3 linked regions of the Arabidopsis thaliana genome follow. The protein of the gene in region 1 interacts with the protein of each later gene in a pairwise test. Each region holds a gene or a part of one and is shown on either strand. Other genes may lie near its edges.

Region 1 (3,733 bases):
AAAATTTACATTATGTGACGTCGTTAAACTCATTTTCCCTGCTTGGCAAATTCACAAAATGTTGTTTCTTCGTTCTCGTCAACAAATCTGAAAATACCTACACATGCCATGTGTATATCCTGTTTTAAAGTTTAATTTTTTCATTTAAATTCAAATTCATTGACATGTCGTTGTAAGATACTCTCAACCTTTTTTCTATCAGATTGACTTTCTTATTAAAAAAGTCACTTTCTTTTCTCGTAATCTTAGCTATATAATGTCATTTTTGTATAATTTAGACGTAGAAAAGTTGGCTAATTTAATAGATCATAATAATATCAAATCATATTTATCCATAGTCAAATGAGTACGTTATACATCCTGAACAGCAATCCTGAACAGAAATTATTTTTTCGTCGTCCCGTCAAAACGTGTTATCCTACGTTTTATCAGATGCCATGCTATATGTTATGTTTTTATTTCAATGTATTTATAATCAAGTTTGAATATTACATATTTTTTACTTTAATAGTTAATACATTACAAAGAAACAAAAAAAGCATGTTGCTTGTTGTTGAGAAAGAATAACAAACAAACACATGTGTCATGTGTGCCACGTGCAAACATGACTAAAAAAAGACAACAGTTTCTCGATTGCAACTCTCTTGGTTTCTTTCCTACTTCCGTAATGAGAAAAAAAGCTCTGTCTATACCTAAAAAAAGTTATTTCTTAGAATATCAAAAGCTAGATTTTAGGAAATTAAATATTTGAGATCAACAAATATCGTTAGTTGTGAATTGCGACTTGTCAAGGGCCCATACAAAATGTTTTTTTTTTTGTGTGTGTGAGCATATCCTTATAATAATTTGTTTGTTTAATACCAAAATGGTGCTTTAAATGTTAATATATTACTGTAAACTTTCCCTAGATCCACTAATTTTTCTTTTTATCGTTTATTAAAAAACATTAATAGTAATCTAACCCGTTATCTATATATACATTTTAAGTGAGTATGAAAATTTACTCCAATTTTGATCTCCTGAATTGTGATAATCTTATCTCTTTTTTTCTTTCTAAAACTTGAATCTTGGACTTGGTGTTTGCATGTAAAAATGTTTTTTCATTACTCATTTAACTGAACTATTTCTAGATATAGATGAAATTAGAAATCCTCTTCGAATTATCTATCAAAAGTAGAAAGAGCCTCAATAACAACATTTCACACGTTTTTACTTGAGTTAGTGATCAATGTGTACACATTTCTCGAATATAACTAAATTTGTCTTTCAATCTCTATCCAAATATTTTATAGGGGAGAAAAGACCCCACTCTCGCGTAACGTAAACTCCTTTTCTATATCACAACATATATGTAAAACAATTTGATTATTTTCTTATTCCTTAACTTTTCCAGAGAATGTCGGTTTATAGTTATACACGAAGAATATCTATGTTTCTTTGTATTTAAATCAAACTTCCAAAAGAATATAATTATTTTTCTTTTCTCTTCTTCGATTCCATGCATGTTTTCTCAAAAAAGCAATTAAACAGAATATGTATATATGCATGCACTCCTTCTTTATTTTTTTCTTTTTGTCATCTTGGAGCTTTACATAGCGTTCATATTATTTTACATTCTTCTATTAGAGCTTTTCTACTAATCTTTATTGATATCCATTTCTTAACTTGTTCAGATTCACACGTACACATTTTTTGCAATAATCAAATCAAAAAGCTTTTTTCACGCGTCTCTACAGTTTTAGCAGGGTACACTGATATAGTACATGATTTTCTATATCGAAAATTACAATAGCTAGAAAAATATATAATTTTTTTAAAAATATGCAAAACTTCTGCTTGACGTTAAATTTTGTTTTGTCATTTGTCTTATGTTCACACAGACGAAAAAGCTTCTATAAAACCGTCAAAATAGCTCACCCCTAAAACCCTAATTATATATTCCCTCTTTCATTCTCCTTCTTCGTCTTTTCTTTGTTTCTCATATTCAAGACATCCTCAATTCCAAATCTTAAACCCTAAATTTACAGACACAATCGAGATCACCTGAAAAAAGAGGTTTAAAGATTTTAGCAAAGATGGCGAATTCAGGAAATTATGGAAAGAGGCCCTTTCGAGGCGATGAATCGGATGAAAAGAAAGAAGCCGATGATGATGAGAACATATTCCCTTTCTTCTCTGCCCGATCCCAATATGACATGCGTGCCATGGTCTCAGCCTTGACTCAAGTCATTGGAAACCAAAGCAGCTCTCATGATAATAACCAACATCAACCTGTTGTGTATAATCAACAAGATCCTAACCCACCGGCTCCTCCAACTCAAGATCAAGGTATATTTACATATATAGTTGACAAATTAGTTACCATATTTATGGGATGATATATGTGAATGAAAAAATGAGCATAATGTTTTATAATAGCAGTTGAATTTGTGCTCTGGACGACGAATATATCCATGTAGTATATATGAGAAATATATCAAGTATATATACGAATGTTTTCTCTTGTTGATTAGGGCTATTGAGGAAGAGGCACTATAGAGGGGTAAGACAACGACCATGGGGAAAGTGGGCAGCTGAAATTCGGGATCCGCAAAAGGCAGCACGGGTGTGGCTCGGGACATTTGAGACTGCTGAAGCTGCGGCTTTAGCTTATGATAACGCAGCTCTTAAGTTCAAAGGAAGCAAAGCCAAACTCAATTTCCCTGAGAGAGCTCAACTAGCAAGTAACACTAGTACAACTACCGGTCCACCAAACTATTATTCTTCTAATAATCAAATTTACTACTCAAATCCGCAGACTAATCCGCAAACCATACCTTATTTTAACCAATACTACTATAACCAATATCTTCATCAAGGGGGGAATAGTAACGATGCATTAAGTTATAGCTTGGCCGGTGGAGAAACCGGAGGCTCAATGTATAATCATCAGACGTTATCTACTACAAATTCTTCATCTTCTGGTGGATCTTCAAGGCAACAAGATGATGAACAAGATTACGCCAGATATTTGCGTTTTGGGGATTCTTCACCTCCTAATTCTGGTTTTTGAGATCTTCAATAAACTGATAATAAAGGATTTGGGTCACTTGTTATGAGGGGATCATATGTTTTCTAATTGAGTTTTTTTTTGTATTTGTATTTTTCATTATGCGTGTGTTTTTGTTTGTGATCACTTTGTTTACTTCTTTCAAGAGTTTTTCATGGGTTCTTTGTTTGTAACCCTTGCATTTGGATTTGTTTTAAGTTTTTTTTTTTTTTTTTTTTTTTTTTTGGGTGGGGTAATTCGTTTTGTATTAAAGAAGAAATTATAAATACACAAGAGTGTTACCCTTTAAATTTATTGGAGTTCCCCCAAACAAACACACATGTAGACACATAAAATTATAGCATTAATAACTGCTAAATTCCGAATTGCGTTGTTATGTGGCCATTATATTGCCAACGCAGATATAACAAACCAAAGCTTTTTATTTATTGAATGAAAATACATTTTCTACCGTGTATCTTACAAGACATAAGGCAAAGTAGCATACCTACATGACAGTACTAATAACATCTGTTGAGAGTCGTTTAGTTTTAATATTTTTCGTCCCGTTTTCTTGGACTAAGATGACAGCCTTGATTTAAGTAATTATATATCAAGTTTATACATACACAATTTCCTTTCCAATTTTATTGGACTGTTTTGGGGGATCTCTTCAGTCAGTTTGAATTCAAAAAATTACTACGT
Region 2 (4,681 bases), about 17 Mb from region 1:
ACCAATATGGAATGATCGCAATGAGTAACCAAAATTACATAATTGGTAAGGATTCAATTATAAGAAAATTAAAAAATAAAAATTTTGAAGATTTTTTCTTTTTCTTTTTCTTTTTGAATTGAATGTAAAATTATATTCAACAAACAACATTTTTACAAAATTTAAATTATATTCTAAGAATATATTTTATATTTTTGATTATGTTAATGAAGAAATTTTAGGTCTAGTTCGTATGTATAGTTCAATACGTAGTCCTTTTCTTATAAGAATTTAATATTTCTCATAAGAAACCATTGTTGTGTTCATATATGCTTTTCTTTAGTCGCGTAGGGTTATTGGTTTCACTCCCTCTAATCAATATATGTCGAAGATTATTATTAATGATGATATATAAAAGATTAAAAGTAGGTGTCAAATTAAATTCAGACACACTGCGAAAGAGACATTTACACGTGTTCTCTCTCAAAATTATTGAAGTCGCTGCGATGTCACAAAAGTATGAAAAGACTATTTTGTAATTTTATTGAAACTAGATTGATTTCATATATTACATTATTACAAAGATCCATTCGTGTGAACTACATACTTAAATTTTGATTGAGGAAAGAGTTGACTTTGACATTTGAGCAATTGTGCACACTCTTGGTCTCTAGTAGTAAACATAAGATTCTTCAAATGTTTTGAAGATTCAAATGAGCGACTAAATTGCATACAAGTAGAAACACATTAATTGCCATCACACTAGAGAAATGTCACTGTCTCATTTCCAAGCACACGAGGCAACCAAATCTCGATGCATCCAACCAAGATACAAAGCTCCATCTCTTTCTTCTAGCCTGTACTTGTCTGAGTAGTTCCTAAGCAGACTTTTAATGGTTGAATTCACCAAGGGACTCAACGGGTAAGGAGTGAAACCCGCCATCCCAAACCGTGACCTCCATTTTCCTAGGAGCTCGTGTCGCTCCACCCGATCAGCTCCTTCACATGCGATGATGTTCACGACATCTCTTGCTAGACAATGTTGCTCCACATTAATCCTCTGTTTGTGATCTCTTGGTAGAGTCACATCAATTGACTCAAACATCGCGGCATAGTAGTTCATTGTCTCCATGAACCTCGGGAAGAAAGCGGCTGTGTTTGTGTTTGACTCTTGTTCCACAAGAGTCACCACCTTGGGAGATAAGCTCTTCACCATTCTCAATAACCGGTCGCTGCAAATTATATTCAACTTAGTCAAAGGACTAAACAAAAGACTCATCCTACGTGTAAACAAATTTTAATAATAAAAACTATACCGGTGATTCTCGGTGCTCACGCTTTCGTCTGGCATATGATGAAGCACAAAGGCAAAGTTTACGGCTAGAGCTTCCCCAGGTCGAACCCCGAGGTTTTTAGGTTTAACCTCGGAAACTGACACCGATACCGAGTTAAACTCGAATGGAACGTTGAACTGCTTAGCAAGCTTAGCGAGTCTATTTCCAACAATGCTTAGGCCACCTCCACGAGCATACGCTGAAGTCATATCATCGATACCCGTTATCCGAATCCGCGGAGGCCCACCAGGCCTAGCTGCAAAAGCCTGGATAAGAGTGACCCATTGACTCCCTTGACCGATTTGGAAATCAATAATGTGAACTCTGTTTTCTTCCTTCATTGCCTCAGCAATAGCACCATTTGCTGACATGTATCCAAACTTGAAGTAAGGACAAACCTCATAGAGAATGTGCATGTAAGAGAGAAGCTCTGTGCTAGCCGGTTCAGGACACCTATTAAGTGCTTTGTATATAGAACTGCCCGACGAAGCTAGCTGCGCCACTAGACCTTCCAATAAGTAAGCTCCCAACCGTTGAATAGGCTCACCAGAAACCGAAACCATCTGCCGCAACTTCTCCATCATTGAATGAGCCATCATAAGATCATTTTCCGACATAGCTTTGGCACATGAAACAAGATCAGCTCTTAAATCCCGCCTCGAGATAGCCTCTAGAGTTGATCTCCAACCATTAATCTCTTGACTCGCCGTGGAATCAAATGAGTCCGTGCAATCGACAAGTAAGTCCAACGAGTCCGGCCCCATCATCACCGTTTCGATTTCCCTAATCTTGTGTTTGAAGTCATTCAACTCATCCGTTACACAAGAGCCACATGTATCATCATATGTAGCAGTAGATAGAGCATTATAAGGAGGAGAGTCAGGAAATGGCTCGAGCGTACAAAACCGTTTACGAGAGTTGTTAACCGGTAAGTACCTAAGCTTCTCAACAGAGTTAGGCTCAAAATAATAAGCCTCAAGCTCTTGTCTAGGCTGCTTGTACATTTCTAGTCACTTCAATGATCTGCACAATAACTGCAAGTATAAAAAAATCAGACTTAAAGACTCATCTTAAACCATCCTAGAGAAGCTCTAAATTACCCTGAATTATTTTTGTAACTTAGATCAACATAACCTCAAGTTATATTCGTCTATACATAACACAATTCTAATGCAAATAACCACATAATTAGACATATATTAATCAAATCTATTGATAAAAACAGAGATTAAGAATCCAACAAAGCTACAAATTCATACCTTTTTAGGTTATCTAAGCAACATAACCACCAAATCAAAGAATTTTCCAACAGGATCAAAAGAAGAGGATGATTTAAGACCTAATATTATCATGTCATAAGATATAAAAGAAAAACAAAAGTTATAACTTGAGGAATCAAAGATCAAACAGAACTGTTCTAAGTGAACGAAAATCCAAATTTAGTAGTACCCACCTGACTTTTTCGGAGATGAGAAACCTTAAAGTAGTGAATGTTATTGAAGTTCCATGTGAACCAGAGGAAGAGAGAAGGGAAGAGAGAAAGTTGTCGGAGACAAGGCACATGGGAATGGCTCGAAAGACAAAACAGAAGTCTCACTCTTATCACAGAGAAAAAAAAAAAAGAAACAGAATCTTAAACCGGCGTGTGATTTACGATTATACCACTCAAACATGTCGCTCCCACCACCACATCATTTGATGATTTATTGAGCCTCCAATTATATTAGATACATGTCCCCGATTCATTATTTGTCTCAATCTAGTTTTCAACTTTCACTATCTCTAATCTTAGTTTAAGATTAAAGTATTAAAAAGATTTTTTTTTGTTAATCGGAAAATTCTAGGTCAAAACCGAAACATTCCCGAAATGCATATAAATTCAGGTTTTTTTAATCACTAAAATCGTCTATAAAATTGTCAAATTGTAAGTGCAAATTAATTCCTAAAACATACGAGAATAATTGATTTTTTTACCCTAAACATAATCAAACCAGAGCCACTGGTTTACCATAACTTAAGTTTATAGTACAGAGTAATTTAATTAGCTTTTTTTTGTCACCAAAAACAAAATTTGCATAAATATTAACAACACAAAGCCACCAATTATTTGAGTAAATGTTCTTTTTTGTCGTAAACTTCTAATCAAATAATTCAGTTTTAATATAATGCATTTAGAAAATTATATATAAATACACGGAAAAGAAAACTAATTGGCTTTTAGTAGATATAGGAAGACAAGAAGGAACACCAAAGAAAATCAAAGTCAAAGAATGTTGACCGGGTAGAGAACGAAGACTACAATGCTGAATTCAAATGATGTGATTTCATGCCACACGACTGTGGAAATTACGAAGTAATTTGATTTTGTAGAAAATAACGAAAACAGAAACTTATTTCTTATGATAAAATGTCAGTTTTTGTTTTCTTTCTAATTTTACTATACCATTTTAATCATCGAACATACCTATTTTATCCATAGTTTTGGAAACATTTGGATCGTTTCAAAGGAAAAAAAAGCAAAAAATCTATAAAACAAATGGTCAAATTTAAACTGCCATGGATTGTATCTTGAACTTCAAATAACTTGTGATAGTTCTTATAGTACAATAATAAATCTGAAGCTAAAATACTTTTGATAACCAAAAGCTTATGATATAGTGATTGAGCCTAGGATCCATCCAAAAGATTGTGTCATAAGTCATACTAATTTGATACGTTGAGATGTACGAGTTTTGGTTCAGAATTTTACATATAATTAAAAAAAAGTTAATAAGAAAATCCAGATTCCAAACTAAAAAGGTGTTAACTAAATCTTGCAAAGCAGTTAAAATAATAAAAATAAAATTTACTCTCTTTTGTAAGTGAATGTTGTGTCACTATGACCCCACAACCCAACCCCCCTTTGCCGTTCTTTTTTGTATCATTATTCTTTTTGACAACCCTTTCCATTATAATATGGTGGAGATATCTCACGTTTAACAAAAATAAAAATGTAGAGGGGTAATGTGTTTTAAAAACATATATAAATGATTCTCTAAATCTGTCTATTTGTCGTTTTTTAAAACTTCATACAATGAGTGACGTCCCATGTACCATGTATGTAAATGTGTGTATGTATGTACATGGGACTTGTAAACTATATATATAGAAAATCTAATGCTAATTCTTTTCCCATTTTTCTCATCATGGCTAAACTCTCATCATCTCCAACTACAGATCTTCTTTGGTGATAGAAATGCAGAATATTTCTGAGATATCATCATCAACCTTTTTTTTTAAGTAATGCATATCTTACACCATCTCCATCAATGGTTTTTCATTGAGAAACTGTTCAATATAAAAATAAAATATAATCAAAAAGTATGAGA
Region 3 (4,349 bases), on another chromosome or scaffold:
GGAAGAGTTGTTACTCATAATAACATGCTGGACTCGGAAGTTGATGATAAAGAAGGAGATGCCAACAAGACTCCACAGAGCTCAACTCTTCAATCCATTACAAAAGACCAGCATGTCGAAGATCACTTAAGAAAGAAAACGAAGACTAATGGCTTTGAGAAAAGTCTTGATCAAGGTCCAGTTTTGGATGAGAAGCTGAAGGAGGAAATAAAAGAGAGATCAGATGCAAACAAAGATCACGCAGCCAATCACGCCAAGCCGGAAGCAAAGTCAGATGATAAAACCACTGTTTGTCAAGAGAAGGCAGTAGGAACCCTGGAGAGCGAGGAACAAAAACCCAAGACAGAGCCTGCCCAAAGCTAAGCATTCAGTGTTGTACCGAGTGGTAATTTATATGGCTGTTTTAACATAGATTAGTACAGGCGATATGGTTATAGACTGTACAGTTGTTGTTCAGGCGGGACCAGATTTAGATTAGTGTTTAATGGAATAGTATGCTTTAATACCTTTATGTAACCACTTCCATTTGGTTCAAATAAGAGTTACAGGAAGAGAAGGTAACACAACAAGAGCCCTTCTTTGTTGATGGAGCCTGTGTAATAGTTGTAGCATGGGGATGTATATGATTTGATTCAACCTTATTAATGGTTATGAGACAAAACTATCTATTACTTCCAGTTCTGTCTTTTGCATTACATTCTTGGAGACGTTTATTCTTTCACTTCCATGCACAAGATGAGACCAAGATTCGGTCCATCCAACCAAGGTACAGAGCACCATCTCTTTCTTCAATCGCATACCCGTTGCTGTAATCTCTCAAGAGGGCTCTAATGGTGGCTGAAATGATTGAGCTCAAGGGGTATGGCTCAAAACCCGCCATGGAAAACCTTGACTTCCATTTCCCGAGAAGCTCGTGTCTTTCGATCCTCTCGGCTCCTTCACAAGCTATGATGTTGACGACATCCCTTGCCATGCAGTGCTGCTCGATATTGATCCTTTCCTTGTGATTTCTCGGAAGCATAACATCGATAGATTCGAACATTGCCGTGTAATAACTTAATGTCTCAAGGAACCTAGGAAGGAAAGGGGAAGTGTTCGTGTTGCATTCTTGTTCCACAAGAGTGACTACTTTAGGTGATAGACTCTTCACCATCCTCAGCAACCGGTCCCTGTGGTTTTCCATGCTTACACTCTCATCTGGCAAATGATGCAGCATGTAAGCAAAGTTCACTCCAAGGGCTTCGCCATCTCGGACATCAAGATTTTCCACTTCAACTTCACAACTTGGCCTTGAAACCGCATTGAACCTGAATGGAACATCAAACTTCTTTGCAAGTTTCTCTAGTCTCTTCTTGACTGTAACCAAGACAGATCCATCACCAACTCCGGTAATTCGAATATTTGGAGCCCCACCAGGCCTAGCTGCAAAAGCCTGGATAAGTGCTATCCACTGGCTCCCTTGTCCAATTTGGAAGTCAATAATGTGAATCCTCTCTTCATCCTTCATTGCTTCTGCAATCGCACCATTCGCTGACATGTATCCAAACTTGAAATATGGACAAACCTCATGCAGAACATACACATAAGATAAAAATTCATAACTCTCTGGTTCTCTGGACTGGAGAGACTTATATATCGAACTACCAGAAGCAGCAAGCCTAGCAACAAGCCCTTCTAACATATAAGCTCCCAATCTCTGGATTGGCTCACCAGAAATCGAAACCATACCGCGCAACTCACCCATACACCATCGTGCCATTAGAAGATTATTCTCAGAAACAGCTTTTGCACAAGCAACAAGTACCAACTTCAAGTCTCCCCTTGATATTGCCTCCACTATCAATAACAAATCTTTAGCATCATCAGGCCACATGGAGAGTTCATGGCAGATAGCATCATCGATACTCTCAGCTATCTCTGGCAGTGGCTGCAACATTATTGAACCTCTTACATTGTCCATCACAAATAAGCAAGTAAGAATCTTTGAACATCAACCATTATCCTCAAATGACCTTTTATTTATCTGATCTTCATAACAAACACCTGTAGAATTCATAGACAAAGTCATTAATCAGAGACTGAATTAGATATCAATATTGAACAATAATATCCATGGAGATCAAAACTCTAACAAGAACTCTAGTATCATTGAAATCAACTCATGACTCTATGAATCTACGTCAGCCATGAACTACTTCATCAATAAACAAGGCATACAAGAGTTCCAATCCTAAACAAACTAATTTGACAATTTCTCTTCACACTTTAGAGTAAAGCTTGCTAGAAAGAGCAATCATTTACAACAAACCAACATCAAACTTATCAAAGAAGAAATGTTTTCATGTTTTGTGGATAAGAAGAAGCAGAGCATCAAAATCATCAAGAAAAGAGAATAAAGGTTTGATTTTTATGAGAAAAACAAACCTTGTGTAGGTTAAGAAGTGATCTTTCGGTGGAAGTCGATAAGGGATTTGGTTTTGCAAGTGAGAGATCCAACCAAAGCTCGCAGCTGAAGCAAAAGGAAGAATCTTTTTAGTTGCTGTAGTGAAGAAAATAACACATCACATACGACGTCGTTTTAGGCTTAAACCGAATAAGACCCGATCACCGACTTGACACATCTCGCTTAAAGTCTCTGGTCAAATGGGAAATAGTGTAAGAAGCAATCTAAGAGACATCAGAGGACGACGATCGATGGATCCTCGGATGTGGCACAAAGTCGCCGCTATTTCCGGTGAGATTTAAGATAAAGTAATGATCTTTTGATTTTGATCTTGTGAGGAAAGGTACTGATTCGGATAGAATTGGTTTAGGTATGGCTGCTCTTGGTTTGGGAACTTATGGTGCTCATGTCTTTAAACCAGAGAACCCTTCTTACAAACAGGTTTAGATTCTTGAAAATTGTTGGAAAATTCGATACTTTGTTGGATTTCTGTGAGAAAGTTTAGGTTTTTTTGTTGTTGTTCAGGTGTGGCAAACGGCTTCACTTTACCATTTGGTTCACACTGCTGCTCTTGTTTCTGCTCCTAGCACCAAATATCCCAACATTGTTAGCTTTCTCTTCTTGTACTCTGTTTCTCTAATCTTTGTCCTTTGAGAGTTGATGGAGCTGACATATCTTTTTCTTGCTTAGTTTGGTGGCTTGTTGACTGCTGGAATTGTAGCCTTTTCCGGCACGTAAGTTGTTATCTTTTTGTTTCTCAGATTCTTCAGTTTGAGATGTGTATGGTAGAGCTTTTGTGCTAGATGTTTGTTGGATGTCTTGTCATTGAGGTTATAGTAGTGCATTCATGGATATTTGAGCTATTTAGATATGATTTGGACTTTCTAGAATTCATATCTAATCTCTAGCAGTAGCAATACTTGCCACAATTCTTCGTGGCTAGGGAGATTTTATCGATTTCGACATGTGTCCAACTCTGAAGCATTTGGAAACCATTGTATCACTTATTTAATAGCATAGGTCTTTGTATTTGAGTTAATGAATGGTATTTGTCCCCTTTGTACTTCCTTTGATATGTGAAGGTATGCTCTTTGGAGAAGTAACTATATTTTAGATGCTTAGTAGATAACTTTAGTTTTGTGTTCAATAGTCTATTTCCGGGTATGAGTATGTGAGAAGTTTCATGTGTGTTGAAATGTTGTTGCAGGTGTTATATGGTAGCGCTGCGGGAGGACAGAAAGTTTTCGACATTGGCACCATTCGGAGGCTTTGCGTTCATTGCTGCATGGGCAACTTTACTTTTCTAAACAATCTCATAACCATCTATATTGTCAAGTTTGTGGTCAAGCTTATCCTACATATGAACTCACTGTTTTTTTTTGTTTACCTAAGAGATTGCTTAATAACAATTCTGTGTCGACAACCATTAAGCATCTTCCTTTACTTGTTCAGTTTGTTGCTAAAGGGATTATGTAAATGACGACCATATTAATGTAATCTTATTACCATACAATTTATCAAAATTCTACATTACAAGAACTTCCAAGTTCCAACAAAGATTTGTTTATATTGTTCACCGGTAGTATAATTCATCATCTTTCATTTCATCTTGGTCTTTCCTTTGAATCATTGGACATACTCAAAATGGCACATACTCAAAATGGCACGAATCGTGACCTATCAAATCATGAGATAATCAGAAACAGATGGTTCAAGATTTTGATTGATCAAAGAGCTTAAATAACTGTAACAAAAAGGGTTTAGATAAAGTTGCTTACTAGGGTCGGTTTGTGTGATAAATGCAGTGCTGTTGAAGTTACAGGAACCGCCGTTGCGCTTATAACGCTGGTAATAGTTATTGAAGACAACAGAGGCATGGTCCTTGACAGTGTTGGGCAAGAAGCAA

The links.
Region 2: the proteins of AT5G07310 (region 1) and PAT1 interact in binary tests that used the Arabidopsis thaliana proteins (3 or more experiments, as listed by UniProt).
Region 3: the proteins of AT5G07310 (region 1) and SCL21 interact in binary tests that used the Arabidopsis thaliana proteins (3 or more experiments, as listed by UniProt).

Annotation. Positions count from the first base shown.
Region 1 is NC_003076.8:2,303,609-2,307,341, forward strand, and holds AT5G07310 (Integrase-type DNA-binding superfamily protein), read left to right. Parts: upstream 1-1,942; 5' UTR 1,943-2,075; coding exon 2,076-2,328; intron 2,329-2,513; coding exon 2,514-3,052; 3' UTR 3,053-3,229; downstream 3,230-3,733.
Region 2 is NC_003076.8:19,521,737-19,526,417, forward strand, and holds PAT1 (GRAS family transcription factor), read right to left. Parts: upstream 3,053-4,681; 5' UTR 2,767-3,052; exon of another isoform or gene 2,653-2,766; 5' UTR 2,573-2,652; intron 2,348-2,572; 5' UTR 2,318-2,347; coding exon 1,296-2,317; intron 1,212-1,295; coding exon 761-1,211; 3' UTR 502-760; downstream 1-501. UniProt on the Arabidopsis thaliana protein: Probable transcription factor involved in phytochrome A (phyA) signal transduction.
Region 3 is NC_003071.7:1,719,857-1,724,205, forward strand, and holds SCL21 (SCARECROW-like 21), read right to left. Parts: upstream 2,749-4,349; 5' UTR 2,735-2,748; coding exon of another isoform or gene 2,644-2,734; 5' UTR 2,425-2,643; intron 2,044-2,424; 5' UTR 1,961-2,043; coding exon 719-1,960; 3' UTR 505-718; downstream 1-504. Other genes in the region: ZAP1 (zinc-dependent activator protein-1), read left to right, coding at 1-363; AT2G04900 (uncharacterized protein), read left to right, coding at 2,644-2,734, 2,814-2,884, 2,969-3,049, 3,134-3,177, 3,651-3,750; AT2G04910 (Carbohydrate-binding X8 domain superfamily protein), read right to left, coding at 4,124-4,349. UniProt on the Arabidopsis thaliana protein: Probable transcription factor involved in plant development.